Caenorhabditis elegans: one gene and its partner. The protein of the gene in region 1 interacts with the protein of each later gene in a pairwise test. Each region holds a gene or a part of one and is shown in the gene's direction. Other genes may lie near its edges.

Region 1 (3,930 bases):
AAGAAAACCTAGATCTATTGTGTACCAACCCGCAAAAGCTCTCTTTTGTAGTAGGCGAAAGGTAGGCATGTGTGCCTTGAGACAAAGCTGTTGCTTTCTTCTCAGGATTTGTTCCATATTCTTAAGAATTAGAAGCTTTTGTGAGAAAATTTAAAGAGTGTAAACTTCTATCAAACTTCTCTTTTTTCAGTTACGCAATATGCAGCCCAAACTTATGGATGATTGTTGCTTGTACATGCATGACACTCCTTACAATGCTTATGACGTTATATATGAATTGCGGGTTTCGAAGGAATGTACGATGGCTGAAGTTCACTGAGTGGAAGGTTTGTGTTCATTAGATCAGATTGTTAGTGCAGGTTCAACGTATCTTCCTTTTCGGGCCCTGCCTAAATATTTCATCCGACCGAGGCGTAATGATCATTGATGATCACGTAATCGCCATCCTCTTGCAATAGGCGCCTTCCGGTCGAGAGGGGTGAGCGTGAATTGTGAAGCTCACTTCTATTCATATTTCAGCTCCAGCAACTCGCCGAACGTCTCCGCATTCAAGAGCCAAATGTAGGTCTTCTTATGCAAGTAACCAGAAAAGTGAATGATAAGAAGAACAGTGATAAGAAAGAATTCGACTTTTTCAACAATCGAGATCAAAATAACAATATCGCAGGAGCATTGAATGAAGTGGCAAGTAAGACAAGTAATGGCTCAATGGGATCAACGGATGTAGTTGCTGCTCAAATCAGAAAGGCGAGAGATGAAGACGTAGAGAAAGTGTTGCGGGAGAGTAATATGGATATTCTTACTCCTGATGTGTATGTTTTAAGTTTGAATTTTCTGAAAATGATTATATTTTCAGCCAACCCACTCAACCAAGCACTGGAGGATCTCAGAAAATTCTGAAAAAGTGGACAGGAGCAACAATAGATCTCTTCTCGAAAGATGAGGATGAGAATGAAGGGAAAGGAAAAAAGGAAAGAAAAAATAAAATTGATCGAACTCAAGAGGATTGATTTTTAATAAAGATTTTTCATTAAAAAATTCCCATTGGGTTTCAATATAAGAATTTCCTGCACCATAGTTATGGCCCAGGAGCCAGCCAGAAGTATAGTCACAAAGCGTATTATCAGGTCTATCAGTATTCATAGAGAGTATTCATACTTCTGGTTTTTTTTGTCGCTACTTGGGCTGATATTTCAGTTTCACAAGATACATTCCCAACCATCACTATTCAAAAGTCGACGGGGCTCCTGCTCGGAAAAGTTTGACAAAAGAAACCCAGGATAAAAAGAACTGCTTCAAATAAATGATTTCAAATAGTTAAAATCACAAAAAACTAGATATCAATTTTAAATCGCTCGGCTCCTCCGATGAGCACATAATCCTTTTTGAGCTCATGAAGAGTCCGCAGCCAATATTTTTAGGGCAAGTCTTACGGGTACGGTAGTTGAACAATTAACTCGTGTTAAGATCTGGAAATTGCCTCGATATTGAGCAAAAATCGAGAGAATTGTTTGCGATTTACTTTAGTTATACGTGTTACAGTTTTAAAACAAAATGAAGAAAAACACGAAAATTAATAAAATTCGAAAGTTATATTTTTAATGAACTTCCTCAGCGTGGCACTCTAATTTGGTTGGCATCTAAGCTCCGCCCACATCAATGCCTATAAAAGATCAGTTTCTTGATAAAATGATTCATTCATCGATTTAACACCAACTCACTTCAACTAGTACAACTACTAACATTCTCCACAATGCAAGGACAAGGATCACCATTCTGCCGTTCTAGGTATGTATTACATGAGCCCGAGTCTTATGTCTCAAGTTACCATGAATATTTTAGAACCCGCTCGAGATCTCGTGGAGCTTTCAATCGTAGCTCCAACCACGGTTCAGTGCTTCCAATTCAGCCTGCCGTATTGGATTCAATTGCCGAGGAATCATCGTCTACTATCATGACAGTAGTCAATCCTTTGATGGTGGCAGCAAGACAGCTCAAATTTGCTTGCCAGATGGCTCATGGAAGTCCAGTTGGAATCATCGACAAATGGAACAATATGGAGGAATTGTATCAATCAATTGCCGATTGCTTTACAATTTCAAAAGATGATATCATTTTCCTGACAGTCAATGATTTTAAGGTTAGTTTTGACATAAATAAGTCAAATTCTTATTCTAAATATTTCAGCCAGACATGAAGAACATGTTCACTGGAACACTGAACTTCAAGGATATGCTCTTCGCCCACATTCGCGGACAAGCAACCGAGCTCCGAGTCGTCAAAGATGCTAAAAACTTTGGAGTGACAATCACGGACAACGGACTCGGGAATGCATTTATCAAGGTCATAAGCCCAGATTCGGTGTTTGATCGTATGCGTCCAGCCACTCAAGTTGGTCAACTCATTGAGGCGGTCAATGGAGAATGTGTGCTCGGGAAAAGGCATTACCAAGTTGCCCGAATTTTGAAAAATGTTCGTCGCGGCGAGGAATGCGTGGTTCGATTGATTGCTCCAAAGACTGCTGATCCAGGAACCATGAAGACGACTGGAAAAACTGGCGGAGGTCTGGCAAAAGGAACCATTCGTTTCAAATCGGAAGGCGGATTTGCTGTTGAGGATGTTCAAGATCAGATGATCCAAGCTGAGATGTGCGGAAAGCTCAATGAGATATTCGACCAATACTTGGGAGTTCAAGATGATCAGCTGGCCATGAGAATCTGGGAAACTGCTTCAAACTGCGAGACGCTTTTGCAACTCAGTGAAGCCATCAAAGAGTCGGAGCTCTCAATGTTCGATTTCCCGGATGGAATGGTTTTCGATATGTGGGGAATCATCGGTGATTTGAAGCGGGAGCAACGTGAGAAGAAGCCATCCCCAGTCATGAAGAATGCGATTTCAAGACCATCGGCTATGAAACTCTTTGAGTAACTTTTACTGTGGAATAAATTATTTTAATCTCCGAACTGTCTTAAATTGGTTTAAAGTATATCCCACTAACTTTTCAAATTTATTCGATTCACAAGACTTGAAAAACACTCTTTCCGCTGCTTAGTTCGATTGTTTCATTCAGCACATCTTATTCTCCAACAGGCATCCGCATTTCATAAGCCTCTAGAAAATCATAGCATTCATCGATTCCCAGTTTAAATGCTGTTTAAATGAAGCTTCAAATTTATTTTATTTTTCTTTTGTCAAAATGTTTATTTTAAAACAGCGTTTTGTCAAAAGTATGTATTCAATTTTATGCTTTCCCATTGGTTTCTCATTGGAGCTCTCGAGCTCCAAATGTCCGTTACACCATGTCCACCTGCAACCTAGTTAGAAGCGAAAGATAAAATCTGCATAAACTTCAAACGTTTTGTATTAATTTGTAAGATTTTAACGCTTATTTACATAAATACAGTTTATTTTTTTCGAGATCATAAGATTTAGTTCTCAAACGAACTTTGGATATGTGCAATACGAGATGATTCCTAATGTTCATGGTCGAATGACATTTGCCGCCACTTTTTCAGCAATTACACACCAATTGCCATGTTCAAAAGTTGCTGAGACGACTTTTAGACTCTCCACGGAATCTACTAAATCGGCAAGTTCACCGTCTTTGAAAACATGATAGAAGCGGTAGAATGTGACCTGAAAATGGAAAATTATTAGCTGAAAATCTCTTAATTTAATTGTAAGTAAAATCGCAGCTTGGTAATCCTCGTTAGCTTTGAAGTTTAAAAAGGTAGTTATAAGCTTTTATGTAGGTCCAAAAATGCTCACGAATCTGCTTACTTCGTCTGTAGGAATATTTGAACGTACATGAACAAAAGTTTGAAAACAATTTTATGAGAAATTTTCAGCTTTAAACATTGGAAATCGTTTTTCTTTCAAAAGACTGTCTCTAATTTACCTCTCTCAAAGTAGCCATTGCTTCAGTAATAC
Region 2 (3,767 bases), on another chromosome or scaffold:
ACAGTTTTTCATGTGCATAATAGTTGTCTTCACACAAGTCAGGTTAGTTGTACGATAATATTAATTTTTAGCTAACACTGTTCCTTCAGACCTGTGAACAATCCAGAATCGTCAGCATATCTTTTTAGCGGGTTTTGTAGACACACTCATAAAAATGCTTGCTTTTTCAGTTTTGATTTTTTCCAGGTAAGTGTCCTGTAATTGTTATTTTTTACAAATATTCAAAATTCAGTTAGTCTTTGATGCCTCGTCCTTTGCAATTCCTGCTACATTGTTTTACAAATATACAAAAGTAACAAATATTAATATGAAAAACATAACTAAAAATCAAATCAGAATGATTCTTTTAAGCTCTTACCTTCTATCTTTAATTGTGGGGGTGAGTTTTGCTTTTCGTGATTGATCTAGAATGGAAATATGAATGTTTCTAGGTGATCTATGTGATAACGTACGAACCAGACGAATCTCTTGAGGTTGCTTCAGAGACCAGGAAGTTTCATTCAACACAATATGATTTCCGGTACTATGCGGATATCACTGGATATCAAAAACATTTTTGGAGCTGGTTAGCAACAAATTTGAATATGATAAGCATTTTCGTCCCACCAATCATGAGTATTGTGTTTATTAGGTAATAAATTTGAGTTTCGAAGAAATACTTACCAATGTGTTTCCAGACTAATACAAATTAAACTCAACAGTTTAAAACATTTATTTACTGATAAAACTGCTGCTCAAGCCAAGAAGTTTGATCTTGCTTTGACGATTCAGACACTTGTCCCTGCAGTTTGTGTGATTCCTATATACATAGCTCACTTAATACTTGAGAATTATGGTAGGCTCCTGTCCGTTTTTACAGTAAAATAATATGTGACAATTTTCAGACTTGCCGTTTCTCTCAAATTTTGAAAAAGTTCTATATATGATGCTTTCTCTTCCAACAGCTATTGATGCGTTCATTGTTATTGTCACCATCACACCGTACCAAAAAGCCTTTATTGCGTTTTTCAAGGATACGTTTTGTGGCAAAAAAGTTTCACCTGCAATTGTTAGACGTAACAATATTTCGGCTGTTTCCATTTTTTGAGCATTTTGAATAATTGGTAATGATAGTGGTGGACTAATCGGAGTAGTAATCGGAACTTTGCTCAATTGAATAAAATAACATTGTTCAAAGATATTACACAAGCACTTTTATAACAGTAATAAAAAATACCGACAAATGAAAAACATTGTTCGAAGATCTGCAAATAAAAATAACGATGAAAAAATATTTACAGTTCAACATTACACTTTAAAATAAAGTGCCAAAGCTCTCAAACAATTATTGTTAAACAAGTTTTTGGATCTAGAGAGACTATTCACCGTATTTCCTCACCAAATTAATTCATTTTGACGTCTAGTGTCGCACTACGTTTTAACGATACTAGAAATGTGTTATTAAAGCCCTAAGAAAAAGCTTATTGTTTATATTTTGCTAGTTGGCGAATGTCTGACAAAATTAAAAAAACAACCGAAAAATAAGCAGCTAAAGATGGAGAGATGGGTGCAAGACTATTGGACACGGAAATTATTTTTTTTTTAAGCAAATAAAATTTTAAAATTCCTGAAATCATAGTTGTGTTTTCATATTGAAAACTTGATCAATTGATCTTCCCTCAACTGTGCTTGCACAAAAATAGACACAATTCAAAGAGACGCAGAGGAATTAACAGTCACAAAAATTGTTACACTGTCTATGGTCTCTTCGGGAAGTAACTTTGAAAATACTCTCTACGTAAACAGATATTTCATATTTTAGTCACGGAAACTACAAACTTCCATTCAACCATGAAATAATTTTAACTGCAATGAGTATAAAAAGAAAACATTAAACTGCATTTAAACATCACATTCATCTGATTGACATTTTATTTTTGTAATCTCAAAATAATGGCTCGCTTTTCTGGAAAGTCTGTCATTATAACTGGTTCTTCTAATGGAATCGGAAGATCGGCTGCTGTGATTTTTGCAAAGGAAGGAGCTCAAGTTACAATTACTGGAAGAAATGAAGATCGCCTAGAAGAAACCAAACAGCAAATATTGAAAGCAGGAGTTCCAGCTGAGAAGATTAATGCCGTGGTTGCTGATGTTACCGAAGCATCAGGACAAGATGATATCATCAACACGACTCTTGCTAAATTCGGAAAAATTGATATCTTGGTATGTACATAGATAGAAAATGAAATATACTCAATTGTTTTAGGTTAATAATGCTGGTGCCAATTTAGCTGACGGAACAGCTAATACGGATCAACCAGTGGAGTTGTATCAGAAAACATTCAAGTTAAACTTCCAAGCTGTGATCGAAATGACTCAGAAAACAAAGGAACATTTGATAAAGACAAAAGGAGAGATTGTAAATGTTTCCAGTATCGTTGCTGGCCCACAAGCAGTAAGCTTCGGGAGAGAGGATTTCAGAACTTTTGTTTTAATTTTCAGCACTCTGGATATCCATATTATGCTTGCGCAAAAGCTGCGCTTGACCAATACACCAGATGCACTGCAATCGATCTTATTCAACATGGTGTCCGCGTAAATTCTGTCAGCCCTGGAGCAGTTGCCACTGGTTTCATGGGAGCGATGGGTTTACCAGAAACTGCATCTGACAAGCTTTACAGTTTTATTGGCTCACGGAAAGAATGCATTCCTGTTGGGCATTGTGGAAAGCCAGAAGAAATTGCCAATATCATTGTATTCCTGGCTGATAGAAACCTCTCATCTTACATTATTGGACAATCGATTGTTGCTGATGGAGGATCAACTCTTGTTATGGGAATGCAAACACATGATCTTATGTCCGTTCTTAGTCAGTAAACTATAACTTTTTTTTTCAGATTTTGTTAACCATTGTTATCTAATGTAATAGTCGTAAAATACACAATAAAATACATTGAATACTTTTATATAAATTGTGGTTTTAGGAATATATTACTTTTCTTTCGTTCACAAAGAAAAACAAGAGTTTCTGCTGCAGTTAGAAGTGTTGCTCCAACATATAATCCAATGGTTCCTCCAATTTCGGCTGAAAACTTTCAAAGTTACAAGCACATCGAGTAAAACTCACCAAGAAGTAAAAATAAGTTGTAGGATCTTTCTTGAAGAATAGTCTCTTGTTTAAAGTGTGCAAAATAGAACTTGATGTGAAGAAGATTTACTCTGAAAAAAGTTTGTTCCGTTGAAAGTACCAAGTTTAATGTTTATTTGCACGCATACACTCAATTAGAACAAGACGTCACGGCGGCGTCGTTTGCCATCACTGAGCTCACCCTACTCACAACTCAGATTACGCTTAAAAGACTTACACATCATATTGAGGAGTTGGAGAATATGACTGGGCCATCAAAACTTGGTTTCGAAGTCTTGAAAGCCATTCGCCACGGATGAATCGAGTTTTCTTTAAAATATAGAAATTAAAATCAGATCTTGATTTTTAAACTTTGAAATATTTTCTTATTTTATGTATTATTCGATTTTCCCCGTTGATCTTCTATGTATTACATTTTGTTACTATTTATCAAATTTCGAATAAACAAACAAACAAATAAATGTAATTTTTAGGTATTTTGAATATTTCAAAGTCAGTAATTATTCTTGCCTTTAAATTTGGCGCTTTTTCGTGAAGTTCATCCAAACATTTCGAGAAATTTGAAAATTTATCACTGAAACTTTCATCTGCAGCAATTCCTGTCAATACTGCAAACTTTCTTCTACTTTCTGTTGCTGCC

The links.
Region 2: the proteins of gipc-1 (region 1) and F25D1.5 interact in a two-hybrid assay, tested with the Caenorhabditis elegans proteins (one large-scale study listed by BioGRID).

What each region holds. Positions count from the first base shown.
Region 1 is NC_003281.10:4,869,087-4,873,016, forward strand, and holds gipc-1 (PDZ domain-containing protein), read left to right. Parts: upstream 1-1,691; 5' UTR 1,692-1,753; coding exon 1,754-1,788; intron 1,789-1,842; coding exon 1,843-2,140; intron 2,141-2,187; coding exon 2,188-2,928; 3' UTR 2,929-3,175; downstream 3,176-3,930. Other genes in the region: C35D10.3 (uncharacterized protein), read left to right, coding at 191-326, 520-812, 857-1,010; C35D10.12 (Methyltransferase type 11 domain-containing protein), read right to left, coding at 3,481-3,636, 3,899-3,930.
Region 2 is NC_003283.11:10,544,918-10,548,684, reverse strand, and holds F25D1.5 (DeHydrogenases, Short chain), read left to right. Parts: upstream 1-1,901; 5' UTR 1,902-1,932; coding exon 1,933-2,202; intron 2,203-2,245; coding exon 2,246-2,434; intron 2,435-2,481; coding exon 2,482-2,856; 3' UTR 2,857-2,942; downstream 2,943-3,767. Other genes in the region: srd-34 (Serpentine receptor class delta-34), read left to right, coding at 5-42, 90-186, 233-379, 432-631, 678-835, 885-1,087; degt-1 (Acid-sensing ion channel 1), read right to left, coding at 2,943-3,064, 3,107-3,198, 3,345-3,436, 3,638-3,767.